Arabidopsis thaliana: one gene and its partner. The protein of the gene in region 2 interacts with the protein of the main gene of each other region in a biochemical or structural test. Each region holds a gene or a part of one and is shown on either strand. Other genes may lie near its edges.

The links. The genes of interacting proteins can lie anywhere in the genome.
Region 1: the proteins of MYB90 (region 2) and ATMYC1 form a complex in vitro, tested with the Arabidopsis thaliana proteins (one study listed by BioGRID).

What each region holds. Positions count from the first base shown.
Region 1 is NC_003075.7:214,900-225,826, forward strand, and holds ATMYC1 (basic helix-loop-helix (bHLH) DNA-binding superfamily protein), read right to left. Parts: upstream 4,883-10,927; 5' UTR 4,786-4,882; coding exon 4,637-4,785; intron 4,511-4,636; coding exon 4,223-4,510; intron 3,883-4,222; coding exon 3,786-3,882; intron 3,661-3,785; coding exon 3,646-3,660; intron 3,502-3,645; coding exon 3,445-3,501; intron 3,344-3,444; coding exon 2,855-3,343; intron 2,777-2,854; coding exon 2,366-2,776; coding exon of another isoform or gene 2,357-2,365; exon of another isoform or gene 2,335-2,356; intron 2,282-2,334; coding exon 2,221-2,281; coding exon of another isoform or gene 2,207-2,220; exon of another isoform or gene 2,143-2,206; coding exon 1,967-2,142; 3' UTR 1,913-1,966; downstream 1-1,912. Other genes in the region: AT4G00467 (Calcium-dependent lipid-binding (CaLB domain) family protein), read right to left, coding at 1-43, 223-326, 503-638, 735-873, 963-1,028, 1,111-1,177; BAM2 (beta-amylase 2), read left to right, coding at 7,523-7,750, 7,823-7,900, 7,981-8,184, 8,286-8,480, 8,629-8,793, 8,921-9,181, 9,286-9,504, 9,603-9,822 and 1 more; AT4G00500 (alpha/beta-Hydrolases superfamily protein), read right to left, coding at 10,315-10,668, 10,768-10,903. UniProt on the Arabidopsis thaliana protein: Trancsription activator, when associated with MYB75/PAP1 or MYB90/PAP2.
Region 2 is NC_003070.9:24,759,119-24,770,045, reverse strand, and holds MYB90 (myb domain protein 90), read right to left. Parts: upstream 6,106-10,927; 5' UTR 5,995-6,105; coding exon 5,874-5,994; intron 5,357-5,873; coding exon 5,227-5,356; intron 5,145-5,226; coding exon 4,646-5,144; 3' UTR 4,505-4,645; downstream 1-4,504. UniProt on the Arabidopsis thaliana protein: Transcription activator, when associated with BHLH12/MYC1, EGL3, or GL3. Promotes the synthesis of phenylpropanoid-derived compounds such as anthocyanins.

The DNA.
Region 1 (10,927 bases), on a different chromosome or scaffold from region 2:
TGCATTGATGAGACATTGCCTTCTTGCCCATGCAGCTATAAACCTAAAATGTTTGCACAAACTTAGAAATCAAATAAATGTCATCGCTTTCCTTGACAGGCCCGAACCATAGAAAATTATTGGAAACAAAATTTAATAGAGTTTTGATGCTAACCCTTTTAATCATTTTAGTTCTCTTTTAGTTGATATTGTTTTGTTTTCCGAAAGCAATAGAGCAGAAACCTTAGTAATGGGAGTTTCATCAGATTCTGAATTGGAGAAATCATTAGTTCTTCACTGTTTTTGGCCTCCATCTTCAGCTCCCATGCTTTCCTCTGCAATTTATCCTACAAAAATAAATAAATTTTCTTGAGAAATTTTGAGATTATATGTTATTGTCGATGTTCTTGAATATTTCAATGTGCTCAAACACCAAAAAGTACTAGTAAAAAGATGAACCTAAGATTAATAAGTCTCCACAAAGATTCTCATGAAATTCTAGGATAGTTACCGAGTTACTTACTGTTGCAATGAATCTCAATCCGACTTTTAGTTCACCTTTAAAAGTATCGTCCTCAAGAACAACATTGTATGGAGCTGGTTTTATTTCAATGTATCCTCTGTCACGCCCTTCGGTTATTATGCCTCCGAGATGAATTCTGTACCAAAAAGAGTCACAAACAAAAGGATGGTACTATATGTGATATTGCTAATGCTAAACCACATTAACTTCAGTTTCTGCAAGCAAAACTTACATGGTTTCACCGACAAATCCACCATCATTGAAGAGCTCTTTGTCCAAGATTCTTAATTTGATATAGGTCAGTTTCTTCCATTGAGACATCGGGAAATCGAAAACAAACTTTTGGTTCCACAATGCATTGTCATTATCACCTTTTTTCATAAAAGAGCCAAAAATGTTTTCTAATATACATTTGGCTAAGAGGAAAAACAAAATTACTAAAGAGTAACAAAACTTGAACCTTTTGACATTTTGCTACGGTATTCCTTTGTCCCACATTGTAAGAGCACATAATACACAGGAGTTCCTACAAACCAAAATGATTAAAAATAACGATTTTAGTTTGATATATAACATATATGAAGAAGGTTTTGTCTTTTCATAATCACCGATAAAATTTGTGTGTGTGATTCCATGAGCATCAATGAGAAATACTTCCAATATCCCTCTCTTCATATGTGACATCCAAGAAAATCAAATACTCAAAAGACTTTAAGAAATTAAGAAGTAGTGTATGGTAATTAGCGTGAAGGCTGCATCAATTGGAGATATATAATGCAAGTGAAACAATCAAATTTTATAACGCACCATAACATTTACTACTTCTTTGGAGGCTCTATGAGTTACAAGAGAACACCATTAATTATGCATTCAAGAAAGAATCAACAGTTTTCAATAAATACCTTTTCAAGTTACATTATCCTCCGTTTAGTAAATATCAATCCGTTTATTTAAGGATTTAGAAAGAAACTGAAGCACAGAATCACACATGACGACCTAAACGAAGCATAATATCAAGAGGTTGAGGCTACGAGACAAGTTTAGGGCTTTTGGCGAGCGCTAGCTTTTCTAATCAAACGGGTTTAATACGGCCCAAAAGCCCACTAAACCTAATAGCCTATGAGGACCAAATCAATTACTTGAGGTTTAAGGTACAACTTATTATGATAATGTCGGCAGAAAAATTGCATTAGTAACTTTAACAAATCCCACATCGGAAACATATGGAAATTTTAGCTAGTATATAAGACAGATTTAGTTCAAGCATTAGTAACCAATTGGCTTTGAGGTGGATAAAGCTCATTAGCTTTCCCATGAGATCATGATCCTTGACCCAATAGGGTTCATTCAAATTACAATAGGATATGTATATGATCCATCCTCTTCACGGGAAAGAAGTTGAGCCAAAGCCAATTGGTTATTTTTTTCTATCAATACAAATAATATAATAGCTCAAAACAATCATTAATGAAAGATACAAATCGCCCATGAATTATGAATAAGTATAGATCTTGGTTTTGTAGAAGAGGAAGAGACAACGTTGTCGAAAATTCCAACCAAACTTTGGCAAACTTTACATACAAAAACCCTGAAAACTTGATGTAAAGATAATGGCACATCGCATATCGGTTCACGAAAGTCTAGATAAATATAACATTTCATCAAAAGTTTAAGAAAATATAAGAATTTTTACTAAGAAGAACATTAAAACAAATCACCAATGACTCTTCTCAGCTCTCGCTTAATCATTCCTACGGACGCAACTGCAGCCCCGCGAAACTGCATGCATAAACCCAAAAACGTTACGTGTAAGTCAAGAAAACCCAAATCTGCCTTTTCCAAACATCAGTAAGATTAATTTACCTTGGCCTTGAGATTCAATGTGAGGAACTTATTGAGCGTGTGAGATCTAACAGAGAAAGCATCCATGTGAAGATTGCTCAGAGTTTCCATGATGTCCGCAACTATGTAGTCTCTGTAAGAACATCTTACTTCGATCACAACTTCTGTTTCTTTGAGTTTAACTCTCAAATGTGTCTTATCTCTGAAAACAGTGACTTGTTCGGTTTCTCCTGAATTGTCATCGATCTTCGTGCTATCATCGTAGTTCCCTGATGTCTCTTCGATCAACACAGAGTCGTTAAGGTTCTCTGTCGTCTTTCTTTGTCTTTCTACAAAATTAACTGATCCCATACAAGATTCTAGCTCTTCTACTCTTGCCTCCAGTTCTTGCAGGTACTTGATTGTGTTGTTTAGTATCGATTCTTTATCAACCTGCACAAAGATTCAAAACAGAGTGTTGGCTTCTGAAACACAGTCTTGTCTCTAAGGATTTAGAAAAAGAGTTATTACCTCGTTGACAGTGGGAACCATAGTTCTAAGGACACTGAACTTTTCGTTCTCTTTTCTTCTATCTGAAGGATCATCTTGATTCAGACCAGAGTTCTGACTTGGGAACATTCTCTTTGTGTGCATCAAAGGGACATCATGCAATATCTTCCGCAACACATTCTGTGACTTTTTTTTCTGAACAAAACCCGAGACTTGCTGCTCACATTGCTTCCACCGCAAGAAACTTGAGCCAGGTTCAGAAGTAACAATATTTGGCTGACGATGACGAATGTTCTTATCGTTCTTACCTGATCTATCTGCGGAGTAGTTGAGTACTGTTGAAATGGTTCTTTTGTAATGCAAGTCTTCATCAGAAATACCTAATGGAAGCTGATGCTTCTCTTCACTGATCTTAATCTCCATCTTCTTCTCGTCATCGTTGTCTTGGTGTGCAGATATTTCCATCAAGCAAGATTTGATGTTTCGAAGCAGGTTATGGTCTTCTGAAATCTTTCATTGATCATGAACAAAATTAAACAAAGTAAGGTATATTTAATTCTTGTGAAGCAAGCAACAAAAGTAAAACTTTATATATTAAGATGGAGAGTTACCAATTCAGTGACGCCCAGCTCAATGACTCCGCCCAAGTAAGGGAAACACACAACAGTCTGGAGATAACAACACAGATACATTCTATAAATCTTCTATCCAAATTGATATATAGATAACTAAACTTTCATTTCTAACAATAAGAGAACTAAACTTTTATTTCTAACAATCAGAATCCAGTTATAACAAACATTATAACGTACCTGAATTGATGCGCTCTAAAGGAGAGAAGCCATATGAACAGTAATGAAAAGCAAAGAAGATCAAAGGAGATTTTTAGTCAGATTCGATCTTGATATATCAAGATTCAAGAAGAGGAAATTAGAAGTTTCTGAGAACTTACTCTTGCTAACAAAGAACGAGAGAAGAGCTTGTTCTCCGCATATTGAGCGTTGCAGAGCCATATGGTCTCACCCGTCGCTGAAGCTCTTCCAGGCAAACTAAAGTATATACATAAACAACCAAAAAAGCCAAAATGACAATAATTAATGATCATAAAAGAGAAAAAAAAAACTTAATCTAGGATTACTTAAAATGCAAAAGGTGAAAGTGTAACAAAAAGGAACCCCAAAGGAATAATCACTCCACTATTTACCAAATGGTTTTGGTGGTACTAAACTCTTTACCCAAAGTGATGGATGTTTCATCTTAAAATGAAAGGACATTTCTCATTACTTCTTTATTGCAAATTGGTTTTTCTATATGAATAGTTCACAAGAGCTAATATATTTTAGTGTACAAATTCATAGGAGAAGAGAGAGAGAGAGTGAGAGAACAAACCATTGTGAAGGAGAGAAGACATAGGACATGGAGACTAAATAGTACCACTCTTCATCAGAGAGGTCATCTGGTGACAGCATCATACTTGTACTGTGACAATTATCATCATCATCATTGAGATTATCATGAGTAGTACTAACAGTAGTACCACTGTCTCCTTCAAGCATAGACAAATAAAGTTTCCGAAGCTCCTTGCTTTTTTGCAACCCATATTTATAATGAGATTCATAACTCTTCTTCCTCTTCTTCATATCTCCATTGTAACATCCTTCTCCCCACTCCAAAACCCTAAATTAGTAGAACATAGTACTCATAAGTAACCCAAGATTTAAAAGAAGAGAAAATGGAAATGCAAAGATGAGAACAACAAGATCTGATAATTTTGGTACATGATGAATATTAGATTATACTTACCCAGGTTGAGTAAGTGAAGACGACCAGAAGATTGCGTAGCTCCATTGAACACTTCTTACAGCTAAAGCAAGTTGTTTTCTTAATAAGCTGTTTTGTCTTTTACTTCTTCCTGCTGCAGCTTCTACACCATCAGCCATTGTCAAAGACATATCTAGATATCGTGAAGAACTGAATTTAAAAGTATGGAACCAAAGTGATTGATAAAGAGGAGACAACCAAAAGGCAAAATTTATTAAAGAAGGGTTTGGTATTGAAGCTTTATTTCCTTTTCTTTCTTTCTTTATTGCTTTCTCTTTCTCAGCTTGGTCCTGATGGAAAGTCTTAAAAGAGTGTCTTTAAAGTTGAGTACTGTGTCTGAATTATGAGAGAGAGTGGTTGACTTGGGTCATGATCTTGGTTTTTGGAGTGACTTATCTTTATACAATACATATGGTAATAGTGTTGGATTCTATTTGGTGAAAACCAAGGTAAAATATTCTCTAAATTAGTGATGATGCTGAAAAATATTGCAAAAAGAAAGATTCAATATAGTTTTTTTGTTTCCTCCTATTCATTTAGTCAAAAGCTTGGTTATTACTACTATACTAGGTGATTGGCCAACATCATGCATGGATATGAATCATAAATTTAAGACCGATCTTTTTAACTCTTTTGGATTTGTGTTGTCTTAAATCCACTATGATGTTAGAGTTTATCGTGACACTTTTTAAAGAATACAACTTGAGATAGTTTGACCATAATGATTAATGTTTTGATGATTTCATATTATAGGTTTGGTTTGGATAGTTAATATCCAACAAGAGACAATATAAATACATGTTGATATTACATTGTACTTATAACTAATTTAGATGAATACACTTATGAAATCAACAAAGTAGAGATTCTTAGATTCTTAGTTAAACTTGTGTTGGTTTATATAAACTTAGTTACTTTTTTTTTCGTGTTAAGACATGTCGGGGTCTTATTGTCTTACAATCATTATATATTTGTATCTATCTTGTTGTGTGGAAATGGAACGTATCGACCTACATTGTTTTTTTGTGTTTTGGTAAACGTATCAAGTATCAACATACTTTAACAACCAAAAAAATTGAACTCTTTGTCTGGCTCACATCAATGAAGATGATTAATTTTTTGTTACTCGATCTTAAATATATGACAAACAGAATGTAGTTATACGTAGTTGCAAGAAAATGGAATATACTATTTGGATAGTGAAGATTCTAGTTTCTATGATAGATATAAATGCGCATTTCACCCGAATAATTCCATGATACTCTAATAGATTATATATTAAACAAATACACACTACTGTTCAAGTTTGATAATCAATCGCGAGACATCGCATATACCGATCGTTATTTGTTTACCATCAAAGCACTATTTTGTCCGAAGTAAGTAAATATAGCAAGTGGCAGTAAAAAAATAGTAATAAAATTGAAGGCAAGATCAGGAGAGAGCTGGCTGAAATGAAGGCAAGAAACTCGTGAAAATAATAATTGATCCATCTCTATCCACGAAGCCCTACATAATTTAGTAACGCACCACTTGTGGTTGCATGCACATTTATTTCCATAACGACAAAACTTTGTGTTTAATTTTATAAATTATTTCTGTTGGCACAACACACTCATTATAGCCATATGTTTGTGTTTATATTTTCTATTTTCATAGAAACAATTAATTTAATTTTAGATGCCCTAGACATTTTTTAAATGTATATAATAATAAAATTATAGTATAAAAGTCTATATATTACCCTAAATTTTACAAAACATATACAATCCTAACCAATGGGATCCTATATCAAATTGCATTCAGGATGAAAAAGAAGCGACATGAACCACGACAAAGAGAAAAGTTAGATAAATTTAAAGTTGAGTGAGAACTTGAAGTCTTTAATTCTCATTATACAAGCAACAATTTTCTTTCTTCGGAGAGAAAGAAATGAGAGATTGCACAACACTTCAAGTTCTCTCCTAAGATTGTTTTGTGGCAGATTGACATAACCATCCGTGACAATATCGCAAAGGTTGTGGAAGATTGTTGTCCCAATGGTTCACCCAAACCTAGTTACTATAGTTGGGTCTTGACTTGTATTAGTTTCAGTTTTTTTTTTTTTTTTTTTTGTTGGGGTCCATATCTAGAAGCTGTCCCAAAGTAAATAACAATGTTTCTTTTGGTAATAGTAATTCACATTTTATCCTTAAAAAATCTTCAAAAAATGAATATGAAAGTTACGACTTACGAGAGAAATGCAATTGTAAAATAATGAAATTCAAATTTAAAGCTTCAATGATTTTGTTAAGACAGAGAGACGTAGCGCATTGATTACAGACGCGACACATCTGACATACAACATTTGCCACTACAATGCACGACTGTCTTCGGATTAATACATTAATGTTACATCGTTAGTATCAATCTTACAGATTATAAATAGCTTAGCCGATTGTTTAAGATAGTATTATTCTAAATTCATATACACTCGTGCAAGTACAACAACACACTAAAGTTATTAAATAATAAACACATTTGATGTAGATAAACTACTTTTTTTAGTGACGTGACTTTACAGGCCCAATAATATATTCTGAAAAGCCCATAGTAATATTCACAAAAGCCCCTTGATAAAGTTGCAACGCGCGTACTTATCTGACGTGTCAGGTCACGCCACGTGGATTAGAAAAAAAGTGGTAAAAGACAAAACCCTTTTGTACTCAACGGATCTGAGTGAATCCTGAAAACTTTTTTAGGATTTCAAAATTGATTTGAACCAACCAATGATTCTTGGATCCCATGAATAAGCCTTCACGTGGCTTTTGATTTCACATTCCACGAAAATCCAATTTTAACTGAATTTGAGATAATTTTGGTTTAGTGATGGCGATTAGGTTGAATCATAGTGTAATTCCAGTGAGCGTGAAGCTTGGAGCTCCGACGAGAGTATCGGCTCGGAGCTCGTTACCGTTCAGCGTTGGAGATTGGCGTGGTGTTTCTACATTTTCCGGTGCTAGGCCTTTGGTTCTCGCGAAGGTGAAACTGAGAGCAGAGAGTACTGAGGAAGATCGAGTTCCAATTGATGACGACGACGATTCTACTGATCAGCTCGTAAGTGTGGAATTTCATTTGGATGATTCACTCGTTTGTGACCAGAATCAATTTTACTCTTCGTTTTGTTAGGTTGATGAAGAAATTGTGCATTTCGAAGAGCGTGATTTTGCTGGCACAGCGTGTGTTCCTGTATATGTTATGCTACCAGTGAGTCTTCTTTTGATTTTATTTTTGTTGGCTAGAGATTTGTGTGTGTGTTTGGTTGATTTGGCTGTTGAATGATGTAGCTGGGAGTGATTGATATGAACTCGGAAGTGGTGGAACCGGAGGAGCTTTTGGATCAGTTAAGAACTTTAAAGTCGGTTAATGTTGATGGTGTTATGGTTGACTGCTGGTGGGGAATTGTTGAGTCACATACACCACAGGTTTATAACTGGAGTGGTTACAAGAAACTTTTTCAGATGATTCGTGAGCTTGGACTTAAGATTCAGGTAATGTTATTTGATCGATGAGTCTCAGTTCAGTTTAGTGAAAGATATGCAGAGTTGAGGATGAACCTTTTTAAAGTGTTCTTGACTTGAATTGACTTCAGGTTGTTATGTCGTTTCACGAATGTGGAGGCAATGTTGGAGATGATGTGCATATACAAATCCCTGAGTGGGTGAGAGAAATTGGTCAAAGCAATCCTGACATCTACTTCACTGACAGTGCTGGCAGGCGTAACACTGAATGCCTTACTTGGGGAATTGACAAGCAACGTGTTTTAAGAGGACGGACTGCTCTTGAGGTATGGCTTTCTACTACTCCATGCTAAAAAATCTGTAGCAAATTATCATTCGAAGAATGTAATCTGCAGCGAGTTGTAGTAGGAAGAATGAGAAGTTGATCTGTAATAAGAAGTGTTTACTGACTCTATGAAATCACTTGTTATGTAGGTTTACTTTGATTACATGAGAAGCTTTCGTGTGGAATTTGATGAATTCTTTGAGGAGAAAATCATCCCTGAAATTGAAGTTGGACTAGGTCCATGTGGGGAGCTGAGGTATCCTTCATACCCTGCACAATTTGGGTGGAAATACCCTGGTATTGGTGAATTCCAGGTAATCTTTTTGACGCATCATAAGCGTATACAAAATTACATTATTATCTTACATTGCTATTTGGACAACTAATTTATTAGTTTACTTACCGATATATCTTCTCTGCTGTGCTGTCCTATCTGCGCAGTGTTATGATAAATATTTGATGAATAGCTTAAAGGAGGCTGCAGAAGTAAGAGGCCACAGCTTTTGGGGCAGAGGACCTGATAACACAGAGACTTATAATTCAACACCACATGGGACTGGATTTTTTCGCGATGGAGGCGATTATGACAGCTACTATGGTAGATTCTTTCTTAATTGGTACTCAAGAGTTCTGATTGACCATGGTGATCGTGTTCTTGCTATGGCAAATTTGGCTTTCGAAGGAACTTGCATTGCTGCAAAGGTAAACAAAGCTCTATTGATGGGGCTAGTGCACTATATTATACTATATTTTTCTGGCTTGTGTTGATAGAACCATTTGTTTGTCTATCCATTTTTGGAAATCAGCTCTCAGGTATACACTGGTGGTATAAAACAGCTAGTCATGCTGCTGAACTCACTGCTGGCTTCTACAACTCCTCAAACCGTGATGGCTATGGTCCAATAGCTGCAATGTTTAAGAAACATGATGCTGCTCTCAACTTCACATGTGTGGAGTTACGGACACTTGATCAACATGAGGATTTCCCAGAGGCTCTGGCAGATCCAGAAGGTCTAGTTTGGCAGGTCAAAACTTCTTCAACTTATACAAGTGATTGGCTTTAATTTGTTTAGGCCAAAATCTTAACTTGCCAAATTTTTCTTTCCATTGTTAATTTTTTCAGGTGCTGAATGCTGCTTGGGATGCTAGTATACCTGTTGCTAGTGAAAATGCTCTTCCTTGTTATGACAGAGAAGGTTACAACAAGATACTTGAAAACGCAAAGCCCCTTACCGATCCTGATGGTCGCCACCTTTCATGTTTCACTTACCTGAGGCTTAACCCAACTCTGATGGAGTCTCAAAACTTCAAAGAGTTTGAGAGATTCCTCAAACGAATGCATGGTATAGCTTCCGTTTCATATTCTCCTAGTGGAATTTAGTGTCTTCTCAAGGTTTTATAACCTGGGGTTACTTTCACTTGCAGGTGAAGCCGTTCCGGATCTTGGTTTGGCTCCAGGGACACAAGAGACCAACCCCGAGTGAATATATATAGTCCTCCACCATGCTACTAAAAACACTTATTAGCGCCTGGTTACATATAATAAGAACGTCTTGGCTTGGGTTTACCAATTCAGCATAGCTAAGTTGGAGGGAATCAAAACCAAGATTGTAAACTGAGCTTGTAAGTTGTAAGATGAATAGTGTATAGAACAATATAAGTGGTATGTCCATTGATATTTCAGAAGAAATTGCTAGCAACATTACAGGCTGTGTTACACACAAAAAGAGCTATAACAACAAAGAAATTCTTAAATCTCTCAATAATGAATTTCATCTACTTTGCTTCTCTGATTCTATATCCTATTTTCTACATTTACACCTATAACAAGATTTTCATGTTTCTTGACCACACAACAAAGCTTGAGATTCCTGATTTTTGAAGATCATATGTTCACTGTTGTCATTTACAGGAAAATGGCAATCTATGAATTGATCCCATTTTCTTCTCATTCCTTTGAAGGACCACCCGGAAGGGGATCCTTCCATGCCTGATCCTGCAGAGCTTTCTCCTTCTTCTGTATCATGGAATGTTCCATAAGACGGCGATGGAGACATGGGGATGTTCAGAGAAGCTGCTTTCATTATAGCCGCTCTGTATTCTTCGTCATGATCCTCAACAATTGATTTCTGGCGTACAATTTTCTGCTCCACCGGAATCTGCATAACTTGGTCCTCTTCCACCATTAACTAAAAAATTTCACCACAAAGAAAGTGCGTTTGTCAGAACTCACCATCTCCAAAAGCTGAAGCAGTCACAAAAAGCAAAACACATTTCAAGGTACTCACATCGAGAGCTCTCTGTGATTCCCTTTCAATCCAGATGATGGCATGATCCGCTGTTGCATTACAGGAGAGAACAATCTGCTCAAATCTCCCATCAACTGGGACAGCTGTTCTCACAACAGGTGGATATCTTCCTAATCTGTATACCAAGGGCATGGTTTTC
Region 2 (10,927 bases):
ATATAATACTTTTAGGTCCATATTGAGAATTTGATTACCTTACGCCAAAAATGTGTATGCAAACTTAATAACGATAAATATAAATACATCTAGAAATTAATATTGAAGAACATGCAATTAATAACCAGCTTTAGTAAATAACAATGCACGTGGCAATTTAGATTTACTATATTTTATCAAAGTATAAGGAATTAAGTGTAACCGCGGAAACAAATAGAGAAGCCTCGCTAATCTCTCAATCTGTGATCTCGGATTTTAGATTCAATTCGTACGTTTCTTCAGGGCATCTTTTTTGGCTTAATAGGCTCTTTGGTGAAGAGAGAGTCTTCTCTTAACTCGTTTCTCTATGCTGTTTTTGGCATTAGTTCACATCTTTGGCTATATGTTTTGGTAGATTAGGATTTGTTCTTCTAATTCCTAATCCTCTCATCTTGGATATGTAAAGATTGAAGTGTGATTTAAGTGTAACCTCTCAAGTCTCAAGTCTCAAGTCTCAACGACTCAACCTTCAATATAATCTTTCAGACGACAATTAAAAAGAAAAAAAAAAGGAATTAAGGATGATGGACTTGGCCTGTTTACTAATCCGACTTGGTTAGAATAAAAGATCATAGATAAATGATTGAAAAAAAAAAAAAAAAAAAAAGACAAATGATGGACTTGGCCTATTTACAAGCTCATTATAGGCCCATTTTTGGTAGAACTGTTCCATAGTTATCAAATGATACACGTCCTGTTCTTCTAAGCATTTTGTCTTTGTTTGCGACAAAATCTAGAGTATCTTGCCTTGCATAGTTGCATAAGCCAATAGAGAAAGAGATTGTTGACAAAAATATAATAAAAGAGAGAGACTGAAAGAGACTGTGACCGAGATGTTTTGTGTCCACGGGAATGGATTGTGAGTGGAGATGGTAATAATATGTAGTCAGTTCTTTAATTATTTTTGTTATGACATCGTCGATATTTTCAATCTTAGCTTGGTTTTTACTTCTATGTGTCACTCTCAATCTGTGTATCCCTAGTAATGTACGACTTCCATAAACTATTATTTATCAAAAAAAAGTAATTAACTATTTACCCATTTAAAGTTTTAAATATGTACTAAATGACCAACATTTCAGAAGTAATTTGCTAAACAACAAAAGTAATTAAGGGAAAGGGAAAAACAAAAACAATTGGAGTAATGTGGCTGCAAGTTGCAGAGTTTGGACATAATCCCATAACCATATATTTAACAATCATAGTTTAAATCCGTATAATGTATATTGTAAAAGAAAAAGAAAAAAGAAGCAAGTAACCATGTATTTAACGAATAGAGCGTATATAAATATTAATCAGCAGAATATTATCCATGATATACTTTTCAACATTTTCTCCACATATTTTTCTTTTACTGTAACAGAAAATCAGATATATACATTATAAAATGATATTCAATTTTTATGTACTTCAAATATCTAATAATTAATAGTGGCTAAAATATTTCAAATATGTAATAAGAAAATTATTATACTATTCCTATGAAATAGAATAAGTGAAGAACACAGTTGATGATAAGGAATTAGTAAGGGCTTTTTTTTGTGTAGAAATAGAGAAAGAAACGTGCATGGTCATCGTCCACGAACAATTTTCCAAATGAGACACAATCTCATAAAAGCGGTAAGAGTCGAGTCATCTTCATATACAAGTTCATTTTTTCACACTTTGGATTCATCCCAAGAAGGTAATCATACACAATCATTGTTTATTCTTTCAAAATGATAGAAATCATATCTTTTGTATTCTTTCAAAATGATAGAACTTGATTATACTTTAATGGACTTTTCCCGACATTTCTATGATATATCTAGAGAGATTTCAAAACAGAACATTATAATGCCAGCAATGTTTTTTAGAGCCAGAATAATTAATTTTTATGAAGTAAGCATCAACTTTTGTTTGAGTTGGAAGTTTATTGTTGTAGGGTTTGCTTGAAGAATTCTAAACTGCAAATTTGACATTAAAAGATTAGTAGGATAGCAAAAATATTAAAATATTATTAGCTATTAATTGATCATTAAAAGATTTTCTAAATTACTTATAATTTTAAAATATGCTAGATACATAAGAAAGGTACGTGTTATCTTTAACGTTTCATTAGTCCATGCAAATGTAACCATAAAGTTATTATAAATAATATATATATATATATATATATATATATATATATATATATTCGGCTAAATTAAGTTTTGAAATGTGGAATAAAACATGAAAAACTGCATATTAATTTAAGCCCATATTCACATCAATAATCTTGTCTTGAAAAAATGACTTAATGAATGTGCATTTGTTATTCTTTAGTGGTAAAGTAAAGATTTGTATATATATTTGGGAAGACTGAAAATATATCTACTGTATTTTCTTAAGATATACATGCGAAATATGACTGGCAGGTTCGTTATAGCTCTTAAACTTGAATGGTAGATTAGTGTGCGTGGACCGTTGTCCTCTTCTCTTCGAGTTAAAACTGTTTTAGGTACTTAATTCATTAATCAAACTTAGTTAATTGCCATTTACGTATGAGTCTTGCTACTTATGGTTTTAAGAAGAAGAAATTGTAGTGATTACTAAACCAAGAAGGGTAAATTCTTTGCGGAATAAATCATCCACTTTAAATCAAAGATACAATCTTTTTTTTCTTTCAAAGGCATATATATTTATTTATTTTTACGTTTTTACAATTTACATATACGACATTGAACATGTTGGAATTGGTAGATTCAATCGTAACACGTCTACGTGTCTAACCTTTCAATACCAAGTCCTTTCATGTTCTCGGGTTGGCCCATATTAGCAAAATTCATGACGTCTGCCGGTACACACGTATACGAAATTGTATTATTGTACACGAACATACTTACAAAACTCTAATCAAATTTCTAATAATTTTAATTAAATAATAAAATTTCAACGGTTACGGTTAAAACAACTTGGCAAGTCGAGCCAAAAAGATGTAGACGTTTCCGTAAGCTATTTCTATATTGCTTCATTGATACACGAATACACGTATGCTACGGAGTTAAATTGATACATGACAACATTGAGGGTCCAAAACTTACAATAAGGACAAGATTCTTTTAAGAGGAGCGATGAACATAGAATATAGATACAAAAATGGCGAAAGTTTCCATGCATCTTTTTTTTTGTCCCATGCAACTAGTTCAACCAAAAGAAAATGGATTTTACTTGCAAATTTTTTGTTACGTGAAGTCCATAGACATGAGGAAAAAGAAGGAAATCTCATGATGATAAATTGTAAATTTCCAGAAAAAACAAATTGTAGATTTCATGAAACATAATTAAATATTATTGATTTAATGTTATAAAGAATTATTAATCACAAAATGATGCTTTTAAGATCAAATTTCTCTCTTTTTTCTTAGGCCTTGAATGGTACTGGTTTTTAAAGTTGATTTTGGCTTTTAATTTTGTAAAATTCACTTTTTCATCCATTCATGATTTTATAAAAAATTGATTCCCTAAATTATAGGGAATCCAGATTTTTATAGATTCTAGTCATTTGTTCTTAAAATCCAAAACCCATTTTTTTGGGATTTTCAACAAATTCTATCGTAAACTCTTTTTTTTTTTTTTTTTTTGAAAAATAAAAATAAACTTTAAAATAAATAATTTTAAAACGTTTCTAAATAATAATTATATAAAAATCAAAAACTAGAAAAGTTACCATTTAAGATTTTGCAAAATCTAAAATCTCCACCAAAATCAAAAACTCATAAAATCAAAAACCAAAAGCCAAAAGCCAAAATTTAGAATCCAAAAACCCACCAAAATCAACAAAACATTCATGGCCTTAATCTGTAAGAACTTTAAAGCTTGGATAATTAGGAACAGAAAATATATCATATTTGAGAGTTAAATATATCATGCTTTTTTCCGCCGTCTTTCATTGAATCTTGCATGAAAAACGTAGAAATGTCAACAGTTTTGAGCAAACATAATCAATAATTAATATATGATTTCATATAACTACTCTAATTAATTCAGGAGAGTGGTGTGTGTCTGTGTGTGTGTGGTGGGGGGGGGGGGGGAGGGAAACAATTACAAGTACTACAATAGTACATTGTCATTTATTTGTTGCAGAACGAATAGTGTATCCATTTTTCCTAACCCTACTTGCTTCCATTATTGTATCAATCAAATAATTTTTGTAAGATAATATTAAATAATTATGTTTACTACTGTACTTAAACTAGCTATTATTTTAACGGTTAGACCAAACAGATCTTAATTATAACTTTCTTATGCTTGTGAAATACCACATTACCATACAACCTTCCACCATGTCTACTTGCCATAAGACATATCTTTCATGGTTAAAACTTTCTTATGCTTTTGAATTTTCTATGGTTAGGTTGAGTGATATTTTAACAAACATTATCACCTTTAACTTTAGTTAGAAAATACTGCATTTAGGAAAATACTGTATTTTCTTTGCGAAAAATATAAATAACGTTTTTTTTTATTACGTAGAAACATAACCATTTTTCTTAAAATGCTGAAATTCTTTACTTCATACAGAAAAATACATTACTAAAATACGAAAGAAAAGCCACCCACAATCTTAAACAAACGGTGAGAAACACTAATCAAGTTCAACAGTCTCTCCATCAAACAGACTCCAAAGTTGCTCAACGTCAAACGCCAAAGTGGCCCCATGTTCAGCTGTCGTCGCTTCAGGAACAATCGCATCAGCTTCTTGGTTTTCCCCCAGTAAATTCTCCAACCACATATTATCTCCATTCATTAGATTATTCACAAAATCATCTTTCTCATCATCTTTGTTACATGTGATACTATTTTCACAAACATTATTTTTCTTGAGTCCAAGGCATGAAGGAATTAAATCAACTTCTGGCAGACCATTGAGATGGCTGCAACCATTGTTAACAGAGAAGGATCGAGGTCGAGGCTTAAAAACACCGATTTTTTGGACCGGTGTTGTAGGAGGGGAAATAATGTTTTTCTTTTTCATTTTAGACTTACAACACGAAGACTCATGTTTTTTACTCAGATGGGTGTTCCAGTAATTTTTGACATCATTAGCGGTCCGACCAGGCAATCGACCAGCAATCAAGGACCACCTAAACATTGTTAAATAATATACATATAAGTTATTAGTGTTGAACTTATGGCTCTTGAAATAACCATTAAAGTAAACAATACCTATTTCCTAGAAGCTTATGAAGGCGAAGAAGAAGATCAACTTCATCATTGCTAAGTCTTCCTCTCTTGATACTTGGCTTCAAATAGTTCAACCATCTTAGTCTACAACTCTTTCTGCATCGATTTAGCCCTACATAACCAATAGTTGACATTAATTATACCAACCAAGACGGCTTTTGGGTCATTTTCTATGTTTCATCTTGAAGAATCTAAGCACACCAATAGAAAGATTAAACTGTTTCAACACAGTAACCGTTTGTTCATAAATTTTCACTGACTTCACTCACCAGAAGACAGCCCAGTGAAATAGTTTAACAACTTTACATGAGCTTAGCATCTTCCTTGTTTGTGAAGAATAAGCTATATATATATATATATATATATATATATATATATATATGCTACGTAAATAAAAAATAGTATAACTTTTTTATTTATATAAAACTCTTCGTTTAAATAAACTGCATAAAGAATTATTCTGAATAACCAGTTGTTTTTTTTGTTTTTTTTTGTTTTACCATACACTAGCATATGAATCAATAATTTGCTCCTTAAAACAAAAAGAAAAGTAAAATAAAGATTTCCGAATATTATATATAGAGAAGAGAATATTCTTAGTCATGAATATATCTGTGTGTGTAACATACCAGCTCTCAAAGGAACTTGATGCCATTTGCCTTCTCCATACTTATCAATACATAGCCTCAAGAGACTATCTTCTTCAGCAGTCCATGCACCTTTCCTCAACCCTTTGGACGAACCCTCCATGGACCAAAGAAAAATTAATATAAAAGTATTTTATCGGATTATTCTAAAACTTTTTTAAAAAAGGCCGAGGAATAGGGGGTTATTGTGGCTTCCCAAATCCTGGGAGGACTTATTGATAATGTGAGCATGTGAGCGAATAGGTATATATATACACGTGAAGGGCATAGGAAAATGACGTGCATGTTTGATATCCACATTTCATGTATTTGCGGTTCTGCTTAATTTACTAAGTTATTGTTTGATTTGACTAGAGAAAAAGTTCATAGCACCTTTTCCAGTACTTAAGAAAAACAAATTACACGTTTCTTATCAAAATTAGGAGAAAGGACTAGTAATGATTGGTCTCAGAGGGTTCATGATTACAAGGAAGAGTTATTTCATGCACGAGAAATAGAACAAAATAAAAAAAATAGGGTGCACCTTCTTACAAAAACTTTTGGAGTATTTTTCTTTACTGAAAATTTTGCAAATAATGTTCACAAACTCATATTTCGTCTTATCATTGTTACATGTGAATCTGATACCACCATATTTGTTAATGCTTACTTTGAAAGAGCTAACTTCTGGCTGCCCGTTGAGCCGGCCGTTATAGAATTGAGTTCGAGGCTTTATAACATTGAGTCTTTGGATCGGTGACGTAGCTGAACATGTAGTTTCCCTCTTTCTCATTCTGCTCTTACAACACGGTTCTTCTTTCTTGTTGAGATGGGTGTTCCGGTAATTCTTGACATTATTAGCGATCCGACCAGGCAATCTACCGGCAATCGGTGACCATCTAAGCTTGCATTGGAACAAGTTGTATTGGATAATTACATTATGTAAATAAATTAGATTTGTGTGTGAGGAATATAAACTTGTGTCTAATCAATATAAGTGACTCAATAGTTTACAACAATAGTATATATACCAGCTCTTAAAGGAACTTGATGCCATTTGCCTTCTCCATACTTATCAATGCACTGCCTCAGAGACTATCTTCTTCACCATCCCATGTACCTTTCTTCAACTCAGTGGACGAAGAAGCCTCCATGAACCAAAGATAATCACTAAAAGTATCACAACCAAATTATTTAAAAACTTATAAGTAAATTGCTGATGAAGAGGGTATACATACTATGGCTTACACAAATCCTTGAAAGACATTTGACAATGAGAGTATGTGAGCTATTATATATGTACAAGAAGAGCGTGCATGTTTGATATCCACATTTCATGTCAATATGCAATGATCGATTGCTTCCGTGGTTGCAAAGAGAACAAATTTTCCAAGCATGAAACACATAGCCATTGTGCTTCTAATATCTTCCATGCTTCCAGCCCAATTCATTTCTGGATTTGAAATACAACCCCAAGCTTGTGGTCCATTTAATGTAGCGTATAAATCGCTTAGCCTGCTTGAAGTAAAACATCTTGGGCTACTCATGTGCCGTGATAGATAGCTTATTTGCATAAGCAATACCTAGTCGTGTAGTTATCCGATAGAAGCGACTTCAATTCCCACAATAATTTGATACTCCCTTTCATCTGCCAATCTTTTTTCATTTCTATTTTATACTTTTTCACATTCTTTTTTGTCTCGACATCGTCGACCTCTTTTGGTCTCCACTAGTTGTTACTACTATATATGTAACTCTCAATGTAACATACAAGCTAAACCAAATAACTAAAAGTTACAACTTTCCACATAGTACTAGGTTCTAATCAATGCTATGCGTGGACGTAAAATTTATAAGAAAAATATATATTATTTGATTACATTTATCATCTGATTTAATTATTTAATTATTTTCTATGATTAAATATTTTTGATGATGCACATATTTCTTTGACATGAATACAGAAAAAATAACAGTAATCTATCCTTAACATTGCAAATTATATATAACTTTTGCCTTTTGGTGGTGCAGATTTCACTGTGAAAAATGAGTTTTATGCAAAAAAAAAAAAAAAAAAAAAAAAAAAATCCTTCAAAAATGTTTTCTACAAGTTTACCCCCCCCCCCAATTTATAAAGAATGCAGATCAAACTTAGGAAGTTGAATTTAATGTGCAACATAACCATAACGTGCATCTTAAATGAGTTTAGTACAGTCACATATATTAGTATTCTTAAATTCGAAAAATAGGCTTTTTATTGTAAAAGTTTTGATTTGATATAATATTTATTACAATTTTGGAAAATTGAAAGTGGTGACCGATGATTATATTGCAGGTTAAATTAGATTTCGTGGAGTTGATTTTTATTATTTGCAACTTGAAGGTAATTACAGTTATATTTTATCTCTCTAAGAGAAAAGACTACCATCCTTTATAAACATGCAGACAATGATATTTTTATAATTTGGATAGTTTTTTCCTTGCCAAAAACCCTAACAACAATGGCTATTACAATTATTTTAGCTCTCTTAGAGAAAAGACTAGTAAGTTTTCTTTTATAAGAAAGTTATAGCGCAAAAAAATATACATATATATTTGCTAAAAAAGCGAGAATGATCTATAACCTTTTTTAAATAACCCTTTACTACTTAAAAAAAAAACTAGTTTCCTTGGATAATCTATCACTTTGAGACTAAATTACAGTAATTGGTCTTTTAATATTATTCGACAAAAAAAAAAATGTCTTTTGAAAATTATTTCATCCGTTTTACATATTTTCTTATATTTTAGTGTGTGACACATTCCCAACAACAACTAAAACCAATCACCTTAGCTTAGTTCTTCTTTTGAGAATCGTGTATAGCAAATTGGATTGATACATATAATCAAAAATGAGTCAACATGTTCCAGATAAGTTCCTCTTTGATCATGTGGTGAGCAGATCCCTAAGCAATGAGTTTCCCAAGAATCCATTATAGATAATCATCCAGACCGAAGCTCAAATGACAAAATAGTTCTTGCTCAACACTTAAGCATGTTTGAATCGAACCAAATACTATAACACGTTTACGTTCACAACACACATGTTAAATTTATGCTACTATTGATAATAAATTGCTGAATACGAAATTAAAATTTTTATATGATACATCCAAAATTCAGTGTCTCACACTATATATAATTATTTTAATCATAATCTACTTTTTATCAATAAAAACCTCGTTTTCTTAAATTTATCATTAATAACGTTTATTTTCAACTTTTTGTATCTTACTTATCTAACATAATATGTAATAATATAATATTTCAAAATATAAAGCGAAGATATTTTTTTCTCTGGGGTACAAAAAGGGAAAGAAACGTGCATGCGCCATTGTCCACAAACAATTTCACAAATGAGACAGAATCTCATAAAAGCGGTAAGGTGTGAAGTCATTTTCATATAAAAGTCTCCAGTTTGGGTCCAATACTTTCCACTTTGGATTCATCCCACGTACGAAGCTAATCATACACAATAATTGTTTATTTTCAAATTTATAGAAATATACCGTAACTTTAATAGACAGGTATTATCAAAAAAAAAAAAAAAAAGCTTTTATAGACAGACATTTCTTTTCAACTGAACATCGTTCAAATATCAGATGACAGAGACTGTGATTATTATTATTTTGAGTAAAACAGACTGATAATTTCATATCCAGAGAATATTCCGAAAACAGCATTTTATATACTCTAAACATCATCCTCTCTCTTTTTCTATGCTAGCACTTGAGCCAACATTATATGACTTTTCTGAATGTTTTTGTTGTATGACTTGCGCTCAAAGAATTCTAAGTGATATTCACAAAAACTATACTTCTGTTTTAGAAAAATATTGACTAAATGAATGTACAATTGTCATTCTTACTGTTTTTTGCTTGTTCTGTTTTGGTGAACATTTTTTTTGCTTGTTTAATTGTCATTCATTCAAACCATTCTAACCGGTCAGTTTTTCCGAAGAATGAAGAGTTATATTTTTTGTTAATATAATTTATATTTTATCTGACTAGTGGTTAGATAACTTAGGTTAGTAGTTGAATGGCAAGTTATGCGTTGTGCGTTGAATGAAGTTGAAAATCGAACCGAACCAATTAGACCCTACAAATACATCATCAGGTCCTTTGAATATCTAATAGTTTACCAATATCTACTGTATACGTGCCAAACAAATTTCAGACTAGACGTCCATCTAAATGCTCATGAGCCTTCAGTAATTCCGCATGAGACTCTAAGCACTCCAATTTATTTATTTAAGCGTTCAAAATAAGTATTGATCGTCAAATGGGCCAAACCAACGGGTTTAATGACATTGTTTAAGATAAGTGAAATTAAGAAAATAATATTATTTTTTTGTAAAAACCTTATCGACTGATCCGCGATCAGCCCTCGTAGAAAAGAAAATAATTAAGATGCATGACTATTAAAATTATACATTATTATTTAGTTAGTACCGATTTTTTTACTTTACTAATGGAACTATACTAACTAGTTTTCATATAAACTAGGTGTAAACAGATATTACAAATTCAAATAAATAACGTTTTTAGCAATCCATATTGTACAGATTATATGTTTTGCTATCCAATTTATGAAAGAAAAAAAAAATTAAACAATTTTTCTAACTAGACCTTGTTTAGACTCCTATAAATTGCTCTAGACATGTTAGGTCCCTACAGAACACCTAATTACATTCTAACAATTTTTTGAACATTGGATCCAACACGAAATCAAAGTAAGCCAGAATTGAATGTACTCGATTATTATATTTTGCATATACGGCGTTGAACATATTGGAATTTGATAGATCTTTTAAACAATTTGTAACACATGTGTAAGTGTGTGACCTTTCAATATAAAACACCAATATATCAATCACTCTATCAGAAGTCCATTTCCGTTCTCCGGTTGGCCCATAGCAAAACACTATGCACGTACAAGAATCTATTATTATATAGCGCATACTTACAAAATCTAATGTCTCTGTAGTTACTAATATATGATACAAGTTCAACGGTTGC